2 linked regions of the Oryctolagus cuniculus genome follow. The protein of the gene in region 1 interacts with the protein of each later gene in a pairwise test. Links are inferred from orthologs where the notes say so. Each region holds a gene or a part of one and is shown in the gene's direction. Other genes may lie near its edges.

The links.
Region 2: the proteins of GUCD1 (region 1) and CTH interact in binary tests that used the Homo sapiens proteins (3 or more experiments, as listed by UniProt). The two-hybrid records come from large-scale screens. The link is inferred for Oryctolagus cuniculus from reciprocal best matches to the Homo sapiens genes GUCD1 and CTH.

The regions. Positions count from the first base shown.
Region 1 is NC_091452.1:31,123,918-31,130,585, forward strand, and holds the end of GUCD1 (protein GUCD1), read left to right. Parts: intron 1-1,413; coding exon 1,414-1,655; intron 1,656-2,196; coding exon 2,197-2,288; 3' UTR 2,289-4,224; downstream 4,225-6,668.
Region 2 is NC_091438.1:101,935,734-101,941,153, reverse strand, and holds part of CTH (cystathionine gamma-lyase), read left to right. Parts: intron 1-563; coding exon 564-659; intron 660-3,848; coding exon 3,849-3,958; intron 3,959-5,420. UniProt on the Homo sapiens protein: Catalyzes the last step in the trans-sulfuration pathway from L-methionine to L-cysteine in a pyridoxal-5'-phosphate (PLP)-dependent manner, which consists on cleaving the L,L-cystathionine molecule into L-cysteine, ammonia and 2-oxobutanoate.

The DNA.
Region 1 (6,668 bases):
GGGGTGGGGAAGCTTTCTTCCTGTCAAGGGCCTTTTGGATAGGTACAGCATCGTCCGCGGGTCATACAAAATTACCAGCCTAAAAACTAGCCTGCTGTAGAGCTATTGAATTCTGAGTCCCAGCTGTGGTTGCCTTGGCAAGGCCAGACCAAATGATTTTGCTGGCCTGCTACGGCCCACGGCCTCCCTGGCATTGAGCCACGCTTGTTCTGTGAAGCTATACCGTGTCTGCCCAGCCTGACCCTGCGTTTTCCCTGAAGCTGCACTCCCCTCTCGTACACATGGTCGAGAACTGGGCCAGGCTCTTGTGTTGCAAAGACCAAATGGAGGGCCGGCACTGTGGCTCACTAGGCTAATCCTCCGCCTTGCAGCGCCAGCACACCGGGTTCTAGTCCCAGTTGGGGTGCCGGATTCTGTCCTGGTTGCCCCTCTTCCAGGCCAGCTCTCTGCTGTGGCCAGGGAGTGCAGTGGAGGATGGCCCAAGTGCTTGGGCCCTGCACCCCATGGGAGACCAGGATAAGTACCTGGCTCCTGCCATCAGATCAGCGTGGTGCACTGGCCACAGCACGCCGGCCGCAGCGGCCATTGGAGGGTGAACCAACGGCAAAGGAAGACCTTTCTCTCTGTCTCTCTCTCTCACTGTCCACTCTGCCTGTCAAAAAAAAAAAAAAAAAAAAAAACACAAAACAAAACCAAATGGAAACATGGCGTGGCGTGTTTCCCCGGCCCAGGCTGCAAACCAGATTGCTGTGTGACTCGGCCGTGGCTGGAGTCAGGCCAGGCCCTGTGGTGCCGGCGCTGCCACTCCTCAGGAGACTGATGAAGGAGCCCACGTAAAGAGCAGAGCAGCCCTACTGTTGGGTCCCTCTAGGTGCTTATTTGGAGAGGTGCCTGGGGTGTGCCCCTCGGGGCGGCTCCAGACAGCTGTGTCTGCAGAACTGGGTGGGGTGTGTGTGTATTTCCCCTGGAGCTGCTCCTCCTGCCACAAGAAACCTTAGAAAGGAGAAAGAGCCCTTTCACAGAAGCGTTTGGTTAACAAACTGGCTCAGCCCAGCTTGGCTCGGATTTGGGGAACTGAACTGGGCCCGCGGCTTCCAGCATAAACCACACTTGATGGAGGATAAAGAACAAACGGGCTTGGCAGAAAGAATTCATTACCCAGGCTGGGAGTGAGGTTCCAAGTGTTGCTCTAGTGGCCCATTTCCTGCTTGTCTCTACTGATGGTGCCAGCTCGTCTGGTGCACGCTGGGAACTGTCCCCTCCCACCCCACACTGAGCCTGCGCAGTGACTACACAAGGGCTCTTCCACCTGCAAGGAGCTCAGGGCAGAGGGCAGAGGAACTGGGGGCCCAGGGGAACAGAGACAGAAGCAGGGATAAACCTGACCCCTCCCTCCCTCCCTCGCGCCCCCAGTGCTGTGAGCATTCAGGATATCCAGGCACACCTGGCCCAGGGCCACGTGGCCATCGTGCTGGTGAACTCGGGGGTGCTGCACTGCGACCTGTGCTCCAGCCCCGTCAAGTACTGCTGCTTCGCCCCCAGCGGCCACCGCTGCTTCTGCCGCACCCCCGACTACCAGGGCCACTTCATCGTGCTGCGCGGCTACAGCCGGGCCACCAGCTGCATCTTCTACAACAACCCAGCCTACGCCGACCGTGAGTGCTGGGCCCCCAGGACTCCCTCCCCTCCCACCCCTTCACCTCATCCCAAAACCCCTGCTCCTCAGGGCCACCCCGCCCTCCCACCAACCCCGTGCTACCGCCCAGGGCCCTGCCTCGCCACCTAAGCGCCCAACCCCGATTCCTCTCAGGACAGCCAGCAGCACATGCCACAGACAGACAGTCTGGCCAGACATGGCCCCTGCTCCACCTGGGCCTGCCCACTGCCCTCAGGGCTTGGGGAAGGCCCTCCCTGATTCCCACAGACCCACCCGTGTGTCCATGTTGCATGGAGCACATTGCCCCCCCCCCACCCCGGGCCTTACTTGTCCATCTACTAACCTGGGGAGGGGCCAGAGAAAGAGCTGGAATAGGCAAGGATAGCTTCTTGGGGGTGCAGGACTTGAGCCAAGAGGAGTGGCCAGCCAAGTGGGCTGTGGTCGGGTCTTGCCTGGCTCCCTTGGGTGCTGGTGGGGCAGGTGCTGTGTCCCTACCCATTGAGCCCTCTCTACCCTCCCCACAAACCCCCACGCCGCAGGAATGTGCAGCACCAGCATCAGTAATTTTGAAGAGGCCAGAACCAGCTACGGCACAGATGAGGACATCCTCTTTGTCTATCTGGACAGCTGACAGCAGGAGCCTGGTGTGCCCAGGCTCTTGGATCCCGCCCCCTCTGCCCCCAGCAAGGCCCACTCAGGAGCTGACAAAGCCCCAGGGAACTCTGGGAGACCAGCACAGCTGCCTCATCTGCCAGCATTGTGTGTTGTCATGCCACTACCCGAAGCACCTGCTTCCAAGGTGAGCCACACCCCGGAACTCCAAGCCTGACTCCAGCGGTGCCCAACGGAAGTCCAGCCCCAAGAGCATCCTTGTTGACTTTGAGTGGGACCCCAGGCAAGGGGAAGAGGCCTGAATCGGACTCCCACTCCCCACAGACCTTGGGACCAAGCCCTGGAGAGAGAGACCATGTGGCTGGTGCTGATTATCAGGACAGCACCTCTGGGGTTGGGGAGCACAGCCAGCCTCTGGCTCCAGGCGCCCGGAGGTGCTGCAGACCCCACGTGCCCTACGGTGCGTGCCATCACCGCCTCATCCCACCCCCTTCTAGGCCCGATCACCGTGGCTGGTTGCCAGGTCGCCTAGCCTCTGCCACAGTGTAGACACATCTCACAGCCACCCCACCCTGCAGAGCCCCGGTGCCTGGGGGCTTGGAGGCCTCCTGCAGCCCTCTAAGGAGTCCAGCCCTATCCAGTAGAGGGTCCTCTTGGCGGGGGCCCGATGGCCGGCGACACAGAGTGTGCTTAGGGCTCAGGGGGCCTCCTGACACCAGCCAGGATGCCGGCGGCAGGACCCATCTTCTGGGTGCAGGGTGCTAGGCCTGCACTCCTGCGGCAGCAGCAGGGGCAGCCCTTGGCTTCCCCGCTGCCATTGCCACTGATGCCAGGACTCTGCATGGAGTGCTGGGTCTGTCATCACACAGCGCAGCAAGTACCACAACTGGAGCTGTTTCCTTCCTTTTTTTTTTTTTCTTTTGGTTTGGGGTTTGTGTGTGTGTGTGTATTGTTGTTTTTTTTTTTTAGATATAAGTTTTTGCTTTCAGAGGGTGAGAAATCGCTTTCACGTAAGATAATAATAGTGAGATTGCAGGTACTTTGGAGCCCCTAGCACCTCTCTCACGGGACGGGGTCAGCCAGTCCAGGTCTGTTTTCAAAGAGAGGAGGTCTCACCTTTGGGAGGAGGAAGTATCTGTCTGCACCCCGGGTCTTGGTCTTTCGGTGCTGGAGGCATGATGTGGTCACGGCTGCCCGCTGGCCATCACGGTGGTTCTCGGGCAGTGAGAGGCTCTGCCTGCCAGGGCTGTGAGCCCCCCCACCCCCCACCCCCCAGCCCTATTAACTCCTTGGCAACAGCCTTTGCTGGCTGGGCAGCCACCCTGTGTTTCTGAGACTCACGTTGGCTTCAGACTGGTCTCATTTTTGTTGCCTTAATACACCAGGTGGCCCAGGGTGCCAGGGATCTCTGGCTACGAGCCTGAGAGTCCCACACACATCTGCTGTGGGGCGTGGGCGTCCTCAGGAGAGGTCTGGGTCGAATGGCAAGCAGAGCTGAATGAAGAGAACCAACAGGAGGACACGAAACTCAGGCCAGCCAGGTGCGAACGAGGCATAGGGCAGAGAGCTGGTGGGGCTGTCCCAGGGAGCGGCCTCCACGGACACTGGTCACAGGCACTTAGCATGTCAGCCCTGAGCCTGGAGGATGGCTTCTCAGTGCACGCTAGGAGATGCCTGGCCGTCCACAAGACTCATCTCCCTGGGCTGAGTCCCCAACACCGCGTCATGAAAATGGGCTGGAGAAACAGCCTGGACGGCAGGGGCTTTGGCCCACGGCACACAGCACCCACCACTGATCCACCCGGGGGTCCCAGCACGACCTCCAAAGCTACACAGGACAGCGGCTTTCTAGCCACAGGGGGACGAAAGGGATCTTTTGCATTGCAGAGATTTTATACATAAATATATTTTGTTTGTAATGAGCCATTCTCAATAAATATTCTCACTGCACAAAATGGCCTGCAGAATCCCCGTCTCCTTCCCAAGTCCCCAGCGCGACCACATGGGAACTGGGGTCCCTTTCGTTGCCATAGCCAGTTTGTAATCTGCCTTTGTCACGTCCAGGCCCTTGTGCTTCCTGTTCAGGCCTTGCTGCTTGTGCAAAGCCTGGATGGGATGGATGGGCTGCAGGCAGATGGTCCTGGGAGCTCAGTCTAGTCGTTTAAGTTTTATATATTTATTTGAGAGGCAGATTTAGAGACAGAAGAGAGACAGGAAGGTCTTCAACCACTGGGTCATCCAATATGGGCTGCTGATACTCCTGGGAGAGCGGCGGAAGGTGGCCCAAGTGCTTGGTTCCCTGCCACCCACATGGGAGACCTGGAGGAAGCTCCTGGCTCCTGGCTTCAGTCTGGCCCAGCCTGGGTCACTGAAGCCATTTAGGGAGTGAACCACTGGATGGAAGCTCTCTCTCTCTCTCACTCTCCCTTTCAAATATATACATTTTCTTTTAAGGCAGTATGACAGAGACAGGGGTTGGCATAGAAAGAGCTACCATCTGCTGTTTCATTCTCCAAATGGCCACAATAGCCAGGGCTGGGCCAGGCCGAAGCCAGGAGCTTCTTCTGGATCTCCCATGTGGGTGCAGGGGTCAAAGCACTTGGGCCATCTTCTGCTGCCTTTCCAGGCACATCAGTAGGGAACCGGATTGGAAGTGGCGTAGCTGGGATGTGAACTGTCACCCAAAGTGGTGACCACAATGCCAGCCCCAATAAATCTTTTTCTTAAAAAGTCCATAGAAAAATGAAGTGAAAGGTAAGTTTATCTTGGTACAAAACATTTGAAATCCATGCATACAAGGAGTCTTCAAAGAGGTCATGAAAAACTATGCATTTTTTCAAAGTATTTTGTACCAAAGCAAGCTTAGCTTTTCATTCCATTTTTTTCCCCCATGAACTTCTTGCCCTTACATATCTGGTTAAAAAGGGTAGGAAGCTGTTAACCTATATTGAAACTTTGGTATCCTAACCTGTCCTAGTCCATTCTCTATGGCTATCACTGAGTGTCTGAGACTGGGCTGTTTATAAAGCAAGCAAGTAGGGGCCGGTGTTGTGGCATGGCAGGTAAAGCCACCACCTGCAATACCAGCATCCCACATTGAGCTCCAGTTTGAGTCCCAGCTGCTCCACTTCTAATCTAGCTCCCTGCTAATGCGCCTGGGAAAGCAGGGGAAGATGGCCCAAGTGCATGGGTCCCTGCCACCCATGTGGAAGGCCCAGATGAAGCTCCTGACTTTGGCCTGGCCCAGGAGAGGCACCTGGCTCCTAGCTTCAGCCTCGCCCAGCCCTGGCCATTGCAGCCATCTGGGGGAGTGAATCAGCATGTAGATAGATATATTTAGCTCACTGTTCTGGGCAGTCCACTGTGTGTCTGGCGAGGGCTTCCCTGCTGCATCACACAGGAGAGTATCAGCGGGTGAGCCAGAGCCAGCTGTGCTAGCTGAGCCGCCGTCTTAAGCCACAATGTCATCACGGAGTCCCGCCCTCGTGACCTCACTGAATCCTGATTACCTCCCAAGTATCATTCCCATTTGATGGTGGGGATTAAGTTTTCAGCACGTGAGCTTCTGTGGGACACTTTCAAACCTCCACCCCTCCTGACTCTCCCTGTTAATTGTTCTATTTTGCATAATACCAACTCCAGACCAGCCTGGTTTAAAGGGAGCCTTGCTGGGTGCTGGCAGTGTGGCGTAGTGGGTTAAGCTGCCGCCTGGGAAACGGGCATCCCTTATGCTTGCTGGTTCCTTTCCTGGCTGCTCCGCTTCTGATCCAGCTCCCTACTAATGCACCTGGGAAAGCAGCAGAGGATGGCCCAAGTCCTCAGGCACCTGCACAGATGTAGGAGATCTGGATGAAGCTCCTGGCTCCTGGCTCCTGGCTCCAGCCCGGCTCAGCCTTGGCAGTTACAGCCATGTGGGGAATGGGCTCAGCCTTGGCAGTTACAGCCATGTGGGGAATGAACTAGCAGATGGAAGATTCTCTTTCAAATAAATGAATCTTTAAAAATTAAGAAATAAAAAATAGTAAAAGGAAGACTTAGGATTCAAACTAAGACTAGGATTCTGTCCAGCCACCTGGATTCTCTTGTTGGATCGACATGGGCTTATATCGTAATAATGATGACCTCTTGGGTGGACACACTGCTCAGTAAGACCCCCCTACGGTAGCCCACGGTGGACAAAGCGGGGAACATAATGGGTCTCTGTGCGCTTAAATAAAAATGTTCTGGTTCCTCTTGCACCTGACACAAACTGGAGGAAGAGGTGCCATAAGCACTGCAGCGGGACACACGAGTTTTGGAGGAGCACCAACCCTGATACCAAGTTTGGAAACGCCCTAGATTCCAGGAGATAAGGAGGGAGGGGGTGTATGGTCTTGGTTTCTTACAATGCCCCACAACC
Region 2 (5,420 bases), on another chromosome or scaffold:
TCAATGGTCGGAGTTGTACCGGTCCAAAGCCAGGAGCCAGGAGCTTCTTCCAGGTTTCCTAGGGCCCAAGGACTTGGGCCATCTTCTTCTATTTTCCCAGGCCATAGCAGAGAGAGCTGCATTGGAAGTGGAGCAGCCTGGACTTGAACTGGTGCCCATATGGGATCTGGCACTGCAGGCTTGGCTTTACCCTCTTCACCACAGTGCCACCCCCTCCCCACAAATTTCTTCAATTTGTTATTTTTGAATTGCAATTTAATTGGTAGAAGGCCTTTAACCTCTCATTTTTGTGAAGAATTATTTCCTTGAAGTGCTTCGGAGAAATGTAATCAAGGTGGAACTGATGTAACAAAAGTTTATGGGCCTTCATTATTTTAAAGATATTTTATTCTTGAAACAGAAAGGGAGATTTTATGATTCTATAAATCAAGGGATCTCTGGTAACTCAGTGGGGTTGTCTGTTCTAGCATAGAGAGGGACATAAAGCAATGCAATAGGTACTATAGGTATTTCTTCATCTTTAGGTCTGACTTCTGGCTTACTCTAATTTGGTTTTATTTTAGGCTTGGCCTTTGCTTCGGGTTTAGCAGCCACTGTGACTATTACTCATCTTTTAAAAGCAGGAGACCAAATTATTTGTATGGATGATGTGTATGGAGGTAAGTGACTCCTCTCATTTATATTGTGTCAACTACTATTTTAAATATAACAAAATGGACGCTAAATTATACTAACAATATTGCTGGCATTATTGATTACTGATTATTTGTTGTTATTATTTATTTTTGACTTTTTTCATTTTATTTGAAAGACATAGAGACAGAGAGACAGAGAGATTGAGATTTTCCATTTGCTGGTTCACTTTCCAAATGCCTATAACAGCCAGGACTGTGCCAGGCTGAAGCCAGAAGCTGGGTGGCAGGGATCCAAATACTTGAAGCATCATGTACTGTCTCCCAGGGTGCACATTATCGGGAAACTGAATCAGAAGTGGACAAGCCAAGACTCAAACCAGGCACTCTGATATGGTATGCAGGCGTCCCAAGCGGTCTTAACCACTGAACCAATGCTCACCCCTATTTATTATCTTTTAAAGGTGTGTTGGACACCTCTGTGATGGCTCAGACTTAGCAGATGAGGAGCATCAACACTTAGAGTCCATGCTCTGGAACTGCTTATGGGAAACGCTGCTTAATAAGAATGGTATTAATGCTACTGGAATGAATACACAGGACTTGATCGACTTTCAGATGTATTCTGCCCTAGAGAAGATAGTGTTTAAATAGTGTTCTAAAGCCAACTTAAAATTTTACTGTAAGGAAGATAAATTATAACCTGGATTCTTTTCCTTTGCCCCTTCTTTATTTTTCTTTTGGTTTCAGAGAACCTTTTTAAAATCTTTGAAAGCTGTGAGCCCCTTCCCCAAAAAGTGTTCTTGAAATTACCATGAGTATTCAGCATTTCAACTTTAGGTGTCTCCCTTAGAACCCTCCCATGGATCCAAATTTAAGAATTTGCATACCATGTTAGCTACATAAAGAGGGGAAAGGGAATGGGGGAGAAGACAGGCTTACCTCAACCTTTAAACAAGACTGATTTTTGTGTTCAAAACAATAGCAAAGGGTTTTGTAAATGTATATATAAATTCTAAATGCTTCCAAATAATTAGAAGGTGACTTAACAGAGTATTATCACTTTATCTATCTCCTATCTCAACAAAATACTCTGTATATTCTTTAAAGGAAGGGACTTAATAAGCATTTTGTTCCACAGACATTTGTACAATGTGTTGTATTTTATCTTACATCCTTGTAAAATTGAAATTACAGAGCTCTCCAACCATTAGTCACTTTTATAATGCAATGGAAAATCCTCATGGCAAGCAGAGGAAATTGTTGATTTTTTAAAAAAAAAATTATTTGAGAGAGAGAGAACAACAGATGGACAGGTAGAGAGAACTCCCATTCCCTCGCTCATTCCCCAGATGCCCACAATGCTAGGGCTGGGCCAGGCTGAAGCCAGGAACTGGGAATCCAATCCAGGCCTTCCACATAGTTGGCAGGGACCTGACTAGTTGAGCCATCATCACATGTTGCTTTCTAGGGAAGCTGGATCAAGAGTCAGAGTCAGGACTTGAACCCAGACACTCCAATATGGGATGTGGGCATCTTAACCCCTAGGCCAAGTGCTTGCCCCAGTTGTTGATGTTTTGATAGTTCTTTATATTCTTTTTCTTTCTTTCTTTTTCTTTTTCTTTTTGGACAGGCAGAGTTAGACAGTGAGAGAGAGAGAGAAAGAGAGAAAAGTCTTCTTTCTGTTTTTTCACCCCCCAAATGGCTGCTACTCCCGGCACACTGCGCTGATCCGAAGCCATGAGCCAGGTGCTTCCTCCTGGTCTCCCATGCGGGTGCAGGGCCAAGCACTTGGGCCATCCTCCACTGCCTTCCCCGGCCACAACAGAGAGCTGGACTGGAAGAGGAGCAGCTGGGACAGAATCCAGCGCCCTAATTGGGACTAGAACCCCAGGGTGCCCGCACTGCAGGCGGAGGATTACCCAAGTGAGCCGCGGCGCCGGCCTATATTCTTTTTCAATCTTTCATTGCCGAGGGTCAATCTATGTAAAATCAAAAGTCCAATTTATCTTTGATCACAGTTTCTTTCTTTCTTTCTTTCTTTCTTTCTTTCTTTCTTTCTTTCTTTCTTTCTTTCTTTGCTTACTATTAGAAATAGTTGCCTGGCCTTTTAATTTGTATATGTAAAAATCAAATCCTGAAGAGTTTATAAAAAAATTATTCAAAGTTGAAATGATTTATCTTTTTCCACTATAAAAATGTAGTAGTTTGATTTACATTGTTTCATATATTAAAGCTTCAGAACTACACAACAACAATGCTGAGAAAGTACAAAGACTAGTAACCAATTCTTTTCCATTACCAAAGTATCAGCAACAATTGTTATTTTAGATTTGAGTACCAGGAAGTAATTGTTAAAAAAACCTAATGTTTCTGGAGCCGGTGCTTTGGCTCTGGCATCTCAAATGGGCGCGTGTTTGAGTCCTGGCTGCTCCACTTCCAGCCCAGCTTTCTGCTATGGCCTGGGAAAGCAGTAGAAGATGGCCCAAGTGCTTGGGCCCCTGCACACATGTGGGAGACCCAGGGGAGACTACTGGTTCTTGGCTTTGGATCGGCCCAGCTCCAGCCATTTCGGCTATTTGGGAACTGAACCAGCAGATAAAAGACCCCTCTCTCTCTGCCTCTGCCTCTCTGTAACTCTGTCTTTCAAATAAATAAATAAATCTTTAAAAAAAAATAAATCTGATATTTCAGGGAGTATACTGCTTACTGTTTGAAGAGTAGAAATTGAGTATTTTGAGAAGTATGATTAGAAGCCACTGAAAACATCAACAAGATTAAAATAGGTCTGGCATCTCTCAAATATTGCATGCTAGTTAGGTCCATGAATTGTGGAGTGAATTCTAATAGTTGGTATATTATCTCAGCCAAATTATTAACCAAAGTCTGTTTTTTCATTTACAAAATAGGGATAATTGTACCTGCTTTAGAGAAGTAGTTGTGAGAACTGTGTGAGAAATATACCCAAGTATTTTCTGCTTTATGCCACTTGTGTATATTAAGTGAGCTTTAGTTGGCTCTTAAACCTTTAAAGTCAAGCATCATTATTTTTTATATATTGGCTAGCCAAATTATTTAACCCAACTAGAAATGCTTTCAATTGCATTTTTATTGATGAATTGGAGTTTCTTTTATTTTTAAAGTGCTTATACTTATAAGGAATGGCCATTTCTTAATATAATGTTCTCTTTATTTTATCTGATTCTCTTGCTGCAGGTACAAACAGATACTTCAGGCAGGTGGCAGTTGAATTTGGATTGAAGATTTCTTTTGTTGATTGTTCCAAAACCAAATTGCTAGAGGCAGCAATTACACCAGAAACCAAGGTAACTCAGTGTTTTGGTTTTGTCTGTTTTCCCTGTGATGTGTTTTCATTATTTCTGTTTACTAGAGAATAAAATTTAGATATACATAATGAATTTTGTTAGAAGCCATAAAAAACACCTAACAAGATTCAGATAAGTCTGATCTCTTTAAATATTATAACATGATTAGGAACATGAATTCTGTAGTGAATTCAGATTTTAACTATGTATGATAGATGGTATATATTCTCTTGGACAAAGTATTTAAAGTCTCAATTTCTTCATTTGCAAAATAGGATTAATTGTATCCACCTTACTGAAAAATAGTTGTGAGAACTAAGTGTAATGCCTGTGAAATGCTTAATATAGTAACTGGATCTATGGTAATTGTTAACAACAATTGGATACAGGACCATTCAATTCTTAACTTTCTTACCAAACTCCTATTGGTAACAGAAATCATCGTTGAGATTGGATTATAGAAAAAGAAGTTTGCTGAGCCCCAAACCTTAGGCACAGTGGCTTTTTCAGGGCTCCAGGAATATCTTCACAAATAATGGAAGTAGAGAAAGGATCGCAGCAATTTTAGCCTTCGTCCTGGGAATCTTGTGTGCTGCCGGAAGGTGTTTTGTGCCTGAGTGAATGGCAGATGTGATATTCTTTATTGGGATCTCATTTAAATTCAGCAGGGGTAAGAGAAAGACCAGTGTCTTTTATAAATCAGCCATTTCCAACTTCTTGCTCAGGATTGAAAGGTTAGAATTGTACCCAAGATTAGGTTGCAGGGAGTGCTAAAAATTTTAAATTTTTTCTCATACAAGTTACTTTGCAGATTAATATAGGGATGAGCTTTGGTAGTTAAGGTTTGTTGTCAAAGGAACTTGTTTTTCTTGCTTGGGAGAAAAGATACTTATTAAAACAGCTGGTCTGCATTATGCTTAATGAATAAGCCAGTCCCAAAAAGACAAATATCATGTTGTCTCTGATTTGTGGTAACTAATATACAGAACATATAATAAATGTAATGTGTATCAGTGAAATCGACATTTTCAGATATGATTATTGTTTATAACCCTCTTCGGTACTCCTGAGGAACAGTGGTTTTTCTGCTTACCACTTGTTGACTTCTTTATTTAGTGGAGGGTAAAGCTTGTGATTATAAATTGAAAGTATGTCATTATAAAAATTAAAAAAAAAATAAGAAAAGAAGGAGGAGGGAGGGTGGAAGCCACAGAGGGAGGGCAGGTAGGGTGAGAAGTATCATTATACTCTTACAACTGTATATATGAAATACATGAAATTTATATTTTATTTTATAAAAATAAAAATTTTTAAAAAACAATAAATGCAAAAGTAAATGAGCACAAAATAAAGTAAAATGAAATAAAGTAGCTAGTCTTAGTCTTCCTAAGGAAGGAAAGCAAATTATGTGTATGTTAAACTTTGTAAACAGGCTTTTGTATATTGACTTTTTACCAACTTG